Linked DNA regions of Mytilus edulis. The protein of the gene in region 1 interacts with the protein of each later gene in a biochemical or structural test. Links are inferred from orthologs where the notes say so. Each region holds a gene or a part of one and is shown on either strand. Other genes may lie near its edges.

The links. The genes of interacting proteins can lie anywhere in the genome.
Region 2: the proteins of serine/threonine-protein kinase Chk1-like (region 1) and DNA replication licensing factor mcm2-like form a complex in vitro, tested with the Homo sapiens proteins (2 studies listed by BioGRID, with this or other methods). The link is inferred for Mytilus edulis from reciprocal best matches to the Homo sapiens genes CHEK1 and MCM2.

The regions. Positions count from the first base shown.
Region 1 is NC_092348.1:28,491,701-28,499,534, forward strand, and holds the start of serine/threonine-protein kinase Chk1-like, read right to left. Parts: upstream 3,157-7,834; 5' UTR 3,000-3,156; intron 804-2,999; 5' UTR 778-803; coding exon 707-777; intron 228-706; coding exon 128-227; intron 1-127. Other genes in the region: triadin-like, read left to right, coding at 6,902-7,055. UniProt on the Homo sapiens protein: Serine/threonine-protein kinase which is required for checkpoint-mediated cell cycle arrest and activation of DNA repair in response to the presence of DNA damage or unreplicated DNA.
Region 2 is NC_092344.1:14,624,540-14,631,900, reverse strand, and holds the start of DNA replication licensing factor mcm2-like, read right to left. Parts: upstream 3,073-7,361; 5' UTR 2,965-3,072; coding exon 2,959-2,964; intron 1,725-2,958; coding exon 1,525-1,724; intron 1-1,524. UniProt on the Homo sapiens protein: Acts as a component of the MCM2-7 complex (MCM complex) which is the replicative helicase essential for 'once per cell cycle' DNA replication initiation and elongation in eukaryotic cells.

The DNA.
Region 1 (7,834 bases):
AAAATTTGGTCTTCAGGTTGAAATTGGAGGGTTGATAAGATAACAAAAAATTTTGAAAATTGTACTAAGTGTAAGCCCAATTTACTAATTGATATTCTAAAACAATATATTATCTAAGTATTATCACCTCTTTCCTGACATTTTCTGCTGCAGATGCTGTTTTCTCTAGGTTTATAATTTTAACAGCTACAGCTTCCTGGGTATCAGTATTTACTGCAAGTTTAACTCTGAAATTACAACTGCATGTATACTATGTTGACACAAAATAACTATAAGTTAAAGAGTTATAAGAGAGTCACAAATTGATATAACAAAAAGTCTGATTGATCAGTACCCAATCTTTGAGATAAATATGCATACAAATTACAATAGAAAAATGGGTTTCATTTTTTTACATAAATAAGGCCGTTAGTTTTCTTGTTTGAATTGTTTTACATTGTCTTATTGGGGCCTTTTATAGCTGACTATGCGGTATGGGCTTTGCTCATTGTTGAAGGCCGTACGGTGACCTATAGTTGTTAATGTCTGTGTCATTTTGGTCTTTTGTGGATAGTTGTCTCATTGGCAATCATACCACATCTTCTTTTTTATATTATCAATTTTTGTGTGCATTGTTCTGTGGATTTTTATTTTAAAAGATAGTATTGCATTGCTGTAAACATGGTAAGTGTCTACATGTTCTACAATTGTTAAGTTCTGTACATACTCTCCATATGCTCCCTCTCCGAGTGTCTGGACAAAGTCCCAACCTTCTACAAATGCTGTTACTTCTGTCATTGGATCATGACATTACATGTATCTGTCTACAAAGTAAAATGTTATTTGTTGTGTTACATACATGTGATAAAAGATATCATTTTGAAAATACTTTGTAAGAAACTCATACTAGACATGCTAGAAACATGACAGAGTGTACGTCTTAAGTCACTAGTTTTCTGAAAACCTGACAGTCCTTTCCAGTACTGACCACTATGGGCATGGCACTAAAAATCAGGTTGAGTAAAATGAGGTCGAAATTTTGTATATATTTGCAGGGTTTCAGCTAGGATTTTGAGGGCTTTAGTCACTTTTGCGCGTGAAAAATCAGCCTTATTTTTTTATAAAGCAAGGGATCTAGGATGTTTATCAAACTAGCTATACATATATGTCCAAGTCCTTCAAGGACTAGTCTAGGATCTTTGAAGACTTTAGGATTGCTAATGTAGGCAGTTATTGGCAATATTGAATGAATTGACTAATGTGATGCTAAGATATGAAGATAAGAACAGGGATCTGGTAATATGGTCAAAACTTCAATTCAGTTATTTTCAGGGCACACCCCTTACAAGAATCAACAAAAGTTGGGTGCCTCTATTTTTTAACCACTGCACAAATGAACTTCTAACGACTTTTCACTTCACAATCAATTATATCCTTGAAAATACGTTTTAATATCTATTTGGAATCAATTTCTTTATTATTGGATAGAAGGATCTGCATCTAAACTTAATGTGACGATTCTAATGACTGTAGACTGTAGAGCACGTTTACTTTCGATTTTTAAACGAAATGAAATGAAAACGGGAAGTGACAATTGAATAATAATTTCAGAATAAAACCGGATTCATCTACGAACTTTTACACATGCGCAATGCATAGAACAGGAAGCACCTGTTTGCAAGTGAAAATATTTACGTTTTGAATAAAGTTCATTCTTTTTAATCGAAGTTGTCGAAAGTTTTTGATGAATATTTATATAAAGTATGACGAAAATACGTTGAAATGACGAAACTACGACAAGCAAACTGCAAATTATGATCGTAAGGAAAATATTGAAATAAAAATAAAGTTGAAATGTCCGGGATGTTCAAATGACGAAAATACGACTGAACTGTGAGAAATGATTAAAATGAAATGCTGACTGACTGATTTAACTGAAATACATTATTATGATGGTCATTTATGAGGTTTTATAATGATAATTAAGGGATTAGTGACCCATCTGATTGGCGATAGGCGGATTACTTGTCATCACAACTTTTAACACCTTTGGTAAACGTTAATTACCTGAGGGTCATAAACTTGTCAGAAACATAAAGACAGGTAGAATTCAAGTAATTTGATGTGTAAATATTTTTACACTTTCCAAATTTAAGTGACGAAATTGATATGAAATATTTTCGTCATTTCGAAAACCTTTTCGTAAAATACGAAAGTGACGAGCGCTAGCAAAATCACTGATATTTGCTCAAAATTCGGATTTGTGGTCGTATTTTCCCTTTCCAAAGAAAAACAAAACTTTTTTGTTTTAAAAGATAAACACAAATTGCTTTTAGATAAATAATTTGTAATTTCTGTATTTTATAAGTACCCTAAAATTAAATTTATACATTTTTTATTCAGAAAATAACTCATATTTATCAAATGTTCATGAATGAAGAAAAAACATCATTTTTTTTAAGTTTAAAAAAATTGCACTATTTACATTTTCATGAAAATTGGCACACATAACCCCCTCGCATAATCAAACCAAATGGCATTTTAAAAAAGAGGGGTTCATAAACTTGTTTTCAAGTTAAATAAGTTTGAATGATAAAAATCTGTCAAAAACTGAATCTTTTCCCGATAAGTCATAGTTTGACGTCGTGAAAATAACAATTTACGTCAGCAACTTCATTACCTCCCCTGTAACTGTATCGTATGCCCTTAAATCTACATGTACATTTGTTTATCAATATTTGATATGGAACCATAAAATTGTTTTGCAAATTAGAAAATTAAGAGGTTAAAAACTCACAAGAGCATGTCCTTGTTTGTACAACTATGCCGACTCTTAATAAAGCTTATTTATTTATAAGATCTAATAACTGGCTAGTATTGAGGTGGTGTATGAGTGTCCCATGAATCATAATGATGTTTTATATCTGTCATAATCTGATGATAAATTGGTGTGGAAATATTAAGGTGTTTTGCTGTATGACTGCACTCAATTAACAAAGTCAGGTAAACTTTTATCTTACCATAAGTAAAACATAAGGTGTCAGATGTATATTAGAATTGCTTAGAATCAGAGTACACAGACCAAATCTCAAGTCACATTTTTCTGTTTTTGTTTTTACCGCCGATATGGATTCTAATTTTAGAACCATTTCTGGATTTTGATTCTTTTCCGGTTAAAGGAGGGTAATCTGAAAACCAAAATAATAAACATAAAAAGAGTGCAGGGAAGGGTTATAATGTTGACAGTTTTTTAAACAAACAAACAAACAAACAAACAAGTAAGGGCTTAAATAAGTTGGTGAAACCTTATTGATTTAAAAAATTGAAGGGTCAAGAAAGATATAAAAAAAAAGTTTTCCGTGTCCCTGGGACTATTATACTGATAAACAGGGACTTTCTATACTAATAGAATAGAAAGTCCCTGTACTATAATATAATAGTCTCAGCATGTCTTTAAAAAATAACTGCTACTTAAGGATGAACTTATGTGAAATTATTAAGATCAAGAATATAAAATTGATACTTTAAGTCATTGACTTTTTTAACTAACATAGCTGGAAAGTCCCTGTTTTGGTCCTGAGAAGATCATTAGTTCACTCAGTAAGGAACAAAACAAGCTAAAAATATTGATAGGTTATGTGACTGTTTCTCCAGATATTTTTTTCAATGGCGGGAAAAGACTGACTTGTTCTTTTATCATATATTTGCATTGGTATTATTTGGGTCTCAAATCAAAAGAAAAGAAATCTAGAAGTTGCTTAGATTTTGGTAAATGACCCTATGAGCTGTTGAATATAAAAAATAAAGAAGATGTGGTATGATCAGTGGCGGATCCAGGGGGTCCGGGGTTGGAACCCCCCCCCCCTTTTTTTTTAAATGTCCGGCATATCCAGAAATCAACGCCACTTTGCTTATTTGAATATTATACTAAAGAAATCGGATACGGGTCACGGAAATTACATTAAAATGATAGGGAATTTTGAAAAAAATGTCTGTTTTAATTTTAATTTAAGTGATAGACAGGTTGCCCGGGCAGAAAATGAATATACACAACAATATACACAATTTAAACGAAACATAATGACTGTTGTTGCAAAATTACAGGTTCCTGAGCTATTTTAAAAATCGAAGCGAGAGGCTTTTAACATTGCAGTGTAAAATACAGGCTAAAATGGCTGAAACGTCAAATTTGCAAACTTCGTGTTGAAAATTGGCTTACAAGGTCATTACAAAAACAGGTTGCCGGGGTGAAATATGAAACTTGAATTTCCAAAGAATAAGCAAGTCCAAACCTTGTATGTGTAGTCATTGAACTTTAGGTTCCCACGTAAAATTAAAATGTCACTATTTCAAGAAGAATAAACTCACGAAAGCACGAAAAATTCACTAAATTCGCGTTCATTGTTTTGATTTTGACCGCCTGACAACTTTACGGAAATATCAAAGTGATTGTAAATAAGGACTCTCTGACGGGCAACTTATAATATCCGTGTTTTAAAGATTTTAATGATATCAAGCCTATCAAGCCAGTCCAGTTCAAAGTACTATCACGTGGTACAATTCTCATTTACATATTATGAATATTAATTAGCAAAACCACTACTAATTTCTGGCTATGGATCCGCCACTGTATGATTGCCAATGAGACAACTCTCCACTAGAGACCAAAATGACACAGAATATAACAACTATAGGTCACTGTACGGCATTCAACAATGAGCAAAGCCCACACCGCATAGTTAGCTATAAAAGGCCACGAAATGACAATGTAAAACAATTCAAACGAGAAAACGAATGTCTGTCAAGAAGAATGTCTCTAATATCTATTCTTAATAAATCAGTATCACAAGGATTATAATCAAACGAAGATAATTTATATACTTTTGAAAAAAATTATAAATATTGGAAACTGGATAATACCCAGATGCGATCATGACAATTTCATTTCAAGGAATGTTATTTCACAATTTATAGACTTCTTTGTGATTTTATGATTTCCAGCTTCTGACATCGTCTCACATGCAACTAAGCTAATAGTACAAGTGTCTACACAACTGTTTTGATTTATAGTATCAATTTCTGATATGAGAGCTGTGTGCATTAGACATACGGATTGACTAGTGAGTGGTTTCGTATCAATCTAGTTCCTTACATATATACCAGCAGCTCACATATCAACAGGAAGTGATTCTCGGTTTCATCATTCGTCTTACACATGAAGGAGGTATTATACCATCTCGTATATAGCTTTGTTAAAACATCTCTTTCACTTTTTATGTGTACGTCCCAGTTGTCTTGTTGTAATTTTTGTATGACTGCTTCGGTTGATAGTAATCTAGATATTAGGTTAATTGCTTGGTAAGCTACATTGAAGGGAAGAGAAATTAAAGATTTGCTTGATTTTTCTCTTATATTGTTTTGACAGTGGTTTTAGATTTTTTAGTAATAAAATTTCTAAGACATAAAACATAATCGGAAATATAAATTCTTGTAGCATACATATTGCGGTCACTGGGTTTAGACTATTTTCCCCATGCAATCCTGCATACATTACAAAAGAGACATATTATATACAAGCTAAATGTATGTAATGATCTTCTGTTGGTTTTTTTTTTTAGATTTTCTTCTTAAAAGTACTTCTAGTTGAATCACTCATGAGTATCGCTTTGCATACCGAAGTGATATGTTTTGGTCACAATACTAGGCATTGGTTTTTTACCAAGTATCTTCCGCTAATGTTATTTGTAGTTGGTTTTAACTGGTAAACATAACACTTTTTTCTGGTTGGATCAGATATCCTTCGCATTGGCTGTAGTCATCCCAGTATGCCATACTTGTAAGGATGTGTACGTTAAATGGGTTATTTCCCACTATTGTTAAGTGTGACTGTCATCTATACAGGTGGGGCACAGCAACTTATCGAATCGATCTTTCAATGAAGTTTAAAGTCTACAAAGTTGGTTTACATAAACATTCAATTTGTATAAATCAGCACTTATACTTCCATTGGTCTTAATATTGCTCAGTCATGATCGAAAAATTGTAAATGATGTTTAAGATCGGGGCTATTTCACTGGTTAGTTCTATCAGTACAATTGGTTTGATGTTGTCTGGTCCAGCAGCCTTGTGTGTTTTTAGATTTTTTATTTGTTTTCTACAACATTTATGATTTGAATTTTTCTTGGAGAACAGTTTGGTCATGATTTTTGATATTTTACTTGTTATTAATGATTTAGTTACATTTGTTCGCTCACTTTTCTAAGTGTTTGATATAGGTCTAGAATCATCTTTTTGTTGCTGAACGAATGTCCTTAATTTCTTTTGGAGTTCTTATTCTTCAATATAAAAGGGGGTGGTGTATGGCACTAAGCGCAAACAGATTTGCATATTCTATCAATCAAATATTTTTTCTCACCATATTTAACCGACATAAACACTAAAAGGAATGGAGAAAATCTAGATTCAAAATATTTTTTTGTCATCTGTTTGATCAAAATTTTTTATTTCTTCTTTTAATTTGGGATCAAAACACTAACACTGATTTATTAGAATCCCCCTTTTTTTAGTTGAATAGACGTAACATATTTTGACCGACCACGCAAGACCCTCATAGGTAGTCAATGTCGTTAAAAACCCCCTCATCGACTAACATTTACGTTCTTGAAATCAGAGACATATAATACAATGTATTATATGTCTCTGTTGAAATTAATAACAAAAAAAACGTATAAATTTGTTAGAATTAACATTTTATTGGTTTTCAGACAGACCTGAAGCAACTAATTCCGTGTTGTCCGAGTTGAGTTGAAATTTAGAATGTACATTGTTATGACGACAGGCGCCAAACTATACACACATTTCTCCACTGCCAACTAGAGCAATAGATTGCTGGTGATTGTTCAGTCAGATTTACAAGAAAAACATGGCAGTTCCATTTTCAAACACAAAACTTCGCGTTCCGAAAGGATTTCAAAATGTTTTAGAAGGGCTTGCACGTGAAGTTTTGAGAAATCAACCAGATAACATCTATGAATTTGGTGCAAAATACTTCGAACAGATGCTGGCTGTTCGAGATGGTAAGATTTCTTGATGAAAACCTTGTTTTTTCCATTTTATAAAGATTTAAAAGATTTAACTAACAACTATTTGAATGCCTTCTACAAATTTAGGTATAACCAATGCCAATGTAAATTACTGTTCCTATTAAAACAACAAAAAACATTTGAAATGGAACAATTGTGAATCTATAATCTACTACGGTTACTGGAGCTGGTCCTATATAGGACAGAACTACTACAAGACAAGACAATGGCAATGGTGAATACATAAAGTCATAATAGTTATATAGTACCCTGAATACACAAGAACTGGTTAAATCCAGAAAACTGTTTGGTCTCACGCTATCAGGCAACTGGGTATCAGGAGTTGACTACAAAAAAAACTTATGACTAAGATTGGTCTTAAGTCAAGAACAAATCAGTATACTTCATGTACTTACGATAAATCTTAGTCGTAAGTTTTTTTTTTATGAAATTGACTCCAGGTCTGTCTGCGCCTAATACACCTTCGCACCTCACACGTTCTCACCTTACACGTTCATACCCAGTTTTTATCCAAATTCTAGTTGAATAAATTATAAGATATTTTTTAAACATTGTTAAATGTATATACCCAAAAAAGTATTTTCCTGAATAAAAATTGGGGAATTAATACATAAAACCAGAGACATACATGACATATACACATACAGTGGAGTCCCCGGTGTCAGCGCGGCCCGTGATATCGTGCATTAGCTGATTTTGTCATATCAACACAGTAACACAAACAAAATCGTTCTTGTTATTGTTTTAGCCTT
Region 2 (7,361 bases), on another chromosome or scaffold:
TGAGTCAATGGTAAAAGTCTACAGATTGCTTGAAAGCAATTGTATCCCAAAAATGGATCAAAGACTCAAATAACTGGGTTTTTGCAAATCATTTCTTACACAATGGAGAGAGAAATATATGTATAAAACATTTGCATTGCAAAAAATGGAGTAAGAAATTCTTCCAATAATTTTAGATGAAAAAAAATGCAGAGTTCTAGAATCTTAAAGTTTGAAAATATTCGTCTAACAATGTCATCATCCTACATATAGGTGCTTACCTTTAATATGATTGCAACCTATGTGAACTTAGAAGAAGGTACACTTTTACATTAAATGAATTTCTTATAGGTTTCATTTCAAATATTTGTTGGGAAATATTGAAAGAAACATACCTGTGACTTAAAGTCTCTTTTATACTGTGAAAGTACTTTTGTTTGTGGGGTACCAATTTTCATGGTTTTCATGGATGACTTTATCCTCGAATTTAAGTGTCCAACGAAATAAAACAACCATTGTCCAAATCAAGACATGGAAAGATCCCTATCAGTAGGTTTGACTACTGATATGATTAAGAGAATATATTAATATATTAAATAACGCCAAATCTGTGAATACTTTTATAGCAGTCAGAGAATTACAACAGCATGCAGGATTATACCCATTTTATCTTTAATAACCTAAACTGTACAACTTTTCATCTTTTAATTATCATAAAAATAATTTTGATCGATGAAAGTCAGATTTTCGGCATTGGTATGCTAGTATGATAAGTGTTCATTTTATATCCTCATAGATCTACTCTAGTACATATGGGAAATAATAGTTTCATGCTGAGCTTGATTTTGGTAAGAATTTTTTGACAATTCAAGATACGTTTATAGCACTTGTTTATATTACTGTTTTCTTTAGGTGACATGTTTATGGCCTAATTAACACCTTTGATGGTCTTTAATCTGTTGATCACTTTATCATGGGTTAGTGTTATCACAACGATTTACACGGGTCAATGTTTCCTTTGCAATTTCCTCAATCCAGACTATTTGTAACCTTCATTGCTAATGGCTTTAATTTTTTTTGATTTTTTTTTTCTTTTTTTGGAAAACTGAAATCCACGAATATGTAAATTTTGTTCAAACCACGAAAATTGATACCCACGAATTAAAGTACTTTCACAGTACCTTAAGAGTTAATTTGAAGAGTTCTAGATAAGTTTGAAAGGTAAAGGGTGCTACATGTACCTGAACCAATTTTACCATAAATTATAAACACTTTCAAATACATGTATATATGTATTCAGTCATATTTGAAATTAAATGGCACCATGCTCTGTATTTCTGAAAGAGGATCATAAATAACTCATTTAACAAATGTGTTATGTCAACAAGTCAGGAACTGCATAATACTTTTCTAGTATCTGTTTATCTGAGTTCACCCTAATTTTGGATAGGGCTGATGCGACACAATCCTTATATTTTGGTAGGGTTTTGAGATTTGTGTCTAGTCATGTTTTTTGCATTCAGATTTTTAAGGAGAAATATTTACTGTTCCAGGTTATCTCCAAATAGTTCTTCTCCATCTGCCTCTTCCTCAGCAACTCCAGCATCCATTTCACTCTCATCTTCAAAGGGAGGTAAATCTCGTCCAGGACTGGAAGTAAGTGGGTCCCCACGACTACTCCTTCGCCCTCTAGAACCCCTAGAAGGACTTGTGGCTGTGGAAAATGGATCTGATGATGTTTCTTCCTGAAATATACAAAAATGCATATTAACTTTCCAGATTTTCTCTTGCATGTTACAGTAAAAATTTCCAGATTTTCTCTTGTTTATTACAGTAAAAATCTTTAAAATACTACAATATACAAAAAATAATTTTTAGTCTGAAAACATGTTTCATCACCCCAGTTCCCCCAGTTATCTTAACGTGAAGTAAGTTATTTTAGCGGGGTATTAATTTTCGCTTGTTTTCGCAATAAAAGAAAATCTCCAAAATAATTCTGCCGATTAATAAATGCACATACAAAGGTATTGATTAAAGTTTTAATCCACTAAAATAATAACCGCCAAAATATTTATTATACCTTTTTCAATGAAAATCCTGAAATTTTATACGTGAAAAAAAAACCGATATGGTATCTGGTTGGTTTTAGTTTAAATGTTTGCCTCCAATATTATGGTCAAAACCTCTCAAGTTAACCCCTCTTACCCCGGTTCAAATCCTCACTCATCTATGGTTAAACTCAAGAAACCCTTGAATGACACCAAACCATTCAGATTTTTGTTTAATGCCTCGTCAGGGCCTTAAAATAGCTATACATATAGAGAGAGTTACTTATAGAGTTGTTCTGAATAGCAACTTGAGTTGTTCAAGTGATACCCTTAAAACTTTAAAGTAGGCACTAGCGTTTCAGGTATACTCAGCCCTTACATGTATGATTAAAGTCCTATCGCTTTTTGTTCGCCTTTACTGGACTTCTGATGATCCCAAAGGTTCCTGTAAAATTTTGACTTCATAATACAATAATTTTACATTATATCTGACGCCACAATGGAAAAGTGATTGTTATGTGGCGTCATTAGTTCAAGCGGGACAGATTCTCAAGTCAGCAAGGAATAGATTTAAGGACATTAAGGTGTATTGCCAAGTGGGCCCCTGCCAATATCAAACCCTGAAGAGGTAAGGTAGTAATAGTTTTACACATGTACGAACTTGTATATATCTTGGTTTTAATTCATGTCTACAGATAGCGGAGGCCTATGGTTTGTATGTAATCAGAATAAATTTTGTGGACCCTTTTGAAAAATTTTACGACGAAGGACTCACCGAAGACAAACTTTCACTAAATTTTATACAATGATTATGTTGTTGATGCTTTAAAACTGTGAAATTTCATGAGCACAGTTTAAAACTGCCTTTAAAGATCATGTCTTCAAATGATTATAATTGTCGTAGAATAGATTATATTGCAACAAAACTTACTGCCATTGTTTTCCTTTTTTTCTTCACAATGTGCAACTTAAGCGCGGGAAAGGGTCAATAGGTCACAGAACAGGAAGTTTAAAATGGTAAAGCTTATTACCAACGTCAACGTACGTTTGCAACAATCAAAGATCATACTATTATCGTATTCTTCAAAACCACATACGAATATTTATGAAAATTTAAGAATATGTTATAAACTTTGCATTATTTAACGGAACCAATTGAGTGTTAAAAAGTTTTCCATGTCCCAGATGTAGTGTTTTATCATAAAGATCTTTAAAAATAATATAAAAGGCAGTGTCTGCGCGTACCCGCATGTACGAATAGTCAAATTGCCTTTCTAGGCTGCGCGTACCCACATCTGGTTTTATAATAAAATGCCGTCGGATCGGGAATGAAACGTGAAAAATATACAGAATGTGTTGCAATTAGTAAATAAATTGATTAAAACTGTTCAGAATTTTTATAAATATACACATATATATATATATATAGGTAAGTAAACAGTTTTTTCTCAGTTAGTAAATATTCTTAAAATGTACAGAACTATCAGGCGTTAAATTTCATACAATTGTATAAAAGAAATTCGGAGTCTATAGCAGCCGCAGAGACAAGAAGAACCCCGGATCACAAAAATTAAAGAAGATTTAAAGTACAACAGAATAAATTTTTCCTGCATTCATGGGGGGGGGGGGGGGGGGGGGGGGGGTTGATTCTTGGTGTTTCTTTTAAAAACGTAAGCTTGGTTACAACTAAAAATTAAGATCACTGAAAGAAGGGAAACATGCGACTGGATATGTATAAAGTGTAAAAAAAAAACCTACGGGCACGATCAGGACTCGTTGGCATGTGATTGCTGTTTAGAATGGCAACATTTGAAATGTGCTGGGTTGAAATCTGTGCCAAAACAATCATATTGGATACATAAATGTTTTATATATTTTAATATAAATTTCAGTTTCGGTTTTACATTTTACTAAAAGATTATTTTAAAATATCATATGGGTATATTTTTAAATATTTAAAATTTTATTCTTTAAATTTTCATTTAAATTTTATAATAGTATTAATTTCTATCATGTTTTTCTTTTACAGGGACTGTACAGTTTCATTTTCCATCATTGTGCATTTAATTTTGCAATGTTTATTATGTATCATTATTTAATAAATACAATTTGAAAATATTACTTTTCATACTCTTCACTCGTTCTACGCGAAATCCCCACATTATCGATAATTTCCGTATATATTTCACTTTTCATTCCCGAACCGATGGCATTTCAATAGAAAACCGGATGTGGGTACGCGCAGCCTAGAAACCGGATGTGGGTACGCGCAGCCTAGAACGGCAATTTGACTATTCGTACCCGCATGCGGGTACGCGCAGACACTGCCAATATAAAATGCACGGTGGGACATATTTATGGAATAGATTATTTTAAGTCTTTAAGATACAATACTTGGTACCATAACTATAATTTATGGTGATAACACTGTAAAATCTAGTATAGTGTCTTTCTCCTTTATACACAACTTTTCAATATGTTTTCGTTTTGGTGGAATTTTCAGTCAAGTGTAGAGACATATTATATACTTAACATGTCTCTGGTAGGTTTTGTCATTGGCCGTAGCTCCGGCAAAATAACGATTTGTATAGTTTTGGTATTTTGTCGGTCTTATTTCAGATTTTTAATCAAGACTATATGAAACATTTTTTTTAAGAAACTATTTATGCACAAATGATATATGTGGCCGGCTAGATGATGTCAATAACCTTTTTGTTCACCTCAGTTGCCTTTCTAGTCATTCAATTTTGTGAACTGCACTCTTCAAATTACATGTACATACATTAATTTCTGTTGAAGATTGAAAAAAAAAATGGAAAACAATAAATTTGCTATCAATCAACTTGATTTTTGACTGATAATATGAAGAGCTACAGCCGGTTTTTGGAGTACTTTGAAACGTGAAACGATGACTATATAGAATTTATGAAAACCAAACAAAACTTTAAAAATAATCTTTAGTCTATGGTGCAATAAAATATAAGATTGACAAAAAAAAAATAATGTTCATAGAAATCTAGATATTTATTCTATGAATGTTGAATACTGAAATGTGTATATCTGCAATTTTTGCAAAAGAGATGCAGACATTAAAAAATCAAGTGTTATGTTCAGTTCATGTCTGCAGTGGCAGCACCTTACTGGTGCCAGAATTAAAAGAAATTCACCAAAAAGCAAGGCACTGGTTTTGTAGCGCTCGTACAGCAGTTTGATTTTGTTGGGTGTAAACTTTTGATTCAAAACTAATTGGATAATTTTATTAAAAGTTTTAATCAGAATGTCGATTTTTTAATATGGGTTCGTATGCTTTGCTTGTGTCTATTATATATTTTTTAAAAAGAAATATTTTTTAGGCTTCCTATTTAAGAAAAAAAGTTACTTGTATACATTTTAAAAAATAAGACATGTTTTAGAGACTTCTTATTAAAGTAAAGAATATCAAACGTTTTGTATAAATGTTTAAAGAAGATATAGTTGTATAGAGATTTCTGAGATTTCTTATTAAAGTGTATGTTTCTGTATTCTTTATATTATTACTTTCTATAATTCTATTTTAATCTTAATTGAGACCGGCAAAATTGCAAAACTCTATACAAATCGCTATTTTGCCGGAGCCGGTAAAATAGCCACTGCCCAGAAACTTCTTCCAGTAGAATTTTCGACATTTGTGGTCATAAGTTATCTTTGATATAAGATAGTGTACACACTTAATGTTCCATTTATATGTAAACTATAAATTCGATAATGTCAATTTCCCTAAGATTTAACTTACTGAAGACATTTTAAATCAATAAATACGTCACAAACTCAACAAAACCAGGCACAAGATAAAAAAGATTAAAAAAACCTTGATGTTAGTTGTCAATATTATCTTCAACACACGACAGCTTGTTATACAATATGTTAAGAATAAAACAAAAGACAGCTACTCAGGACAGTTTCAGGATTGTGAATTATGGCGATTTTTTTTTTATTTAGAACTCGAATTCCTTTCTCCCTAATGATACACAGATGCATAAAAGATAAAAACCAATAATTATATACCCCAAAAAATAAGAAATACCGTATCAAATAATACTTGCAGTTAACCGAAAGGAAACACAAAGTACTCATATAAGTTTATGTCATCCTACACTTATATCGTGTGTCCTATCATAAATCAACGTCATGAACAGTATACAGAAGGGCCTTTTCTTGTACAATGTCCAGAATGCATTTGTTCATAATTTTAATGCAAAAAAATATAAAAACATATAAGTTCTGCTTCAAACTACAAATTAGCAAACTATTTAATCTCCCCTTTATACAAGAAATATAATATGCAATGGTTCACAACAGCATAAACCGTACTCATTATAAGTCCAATAGTCAAATGAAAAGATTTACAGAAAATATCTCAAACGTTAAAGCTTTGTAAGTGACAAAAAGATATATGCGAAACAGCATATCTTATCAGATTCCTGCATGCGCTTTACATCTTTATAATTTCATAGTAGCATATACCAATACCTTTGTTTTGTCAGAAGGTAATGTTTTCTCGACTGTAAATGACGTCTTTACACTAAATCCATTTAAAGTTGGACGTGTACTGATTGATAATTGCCTAGTTTTAGACACAACCTAGATACTTAGGTACATGATTTTCTTATTATTTCTTATTTACTGTGAACTAGTTTTCAGATATACTGCGAGTAGTCTCAGATTTATATTTTTTTAGTTTTAGTCTCTTGATTTGTTCTGTGTATCGCTTTTAAGAGTTTTTAGCCCTTCTCAAGTGATCTATATAGTTTGTTCTTACATATTGTGCTGTTACACCACTGTCCCTGGTTATGAGAGGGTTGGCACGTATGCAAACATGTTAACCTTGACACACTATGTATGTGACAGTCCCAATTCCGGAGCCTGTAATTCAGTGGTTTTGTGTTGATGTGTGTTTCTTATATTTGCTTCTCGTTTATTGTTTTGTAGATAAATCCGGCCTTTAGTTTTTGCGTTTGAACTCTTTAACATTTTCCTTTGAAAAACTTTTATAGCTTGCTATGCGAGATTGGTTTTTCTTTGTGGAAGACTACACGGTGACATATAGTTGCTAGCCCTCTACGTTTTTTAGTTTCTTGTGGAGAGTTGTCTCATTGGCATTCATATCACATCTTCTTATCTTTACTTACTTCAACAAGTTAAGTATATATGTCTTTGAATTTTGTTATAAGACAAATTGCAGTTGTATTTCTTAAACAAAATCGGGTAATGTTGTTTATATTGGAATACTCATCTGGTGTAAATAAAACGTAAAACAAAACTGAGGATATATCAAAATTAGATAGAGACGTAACC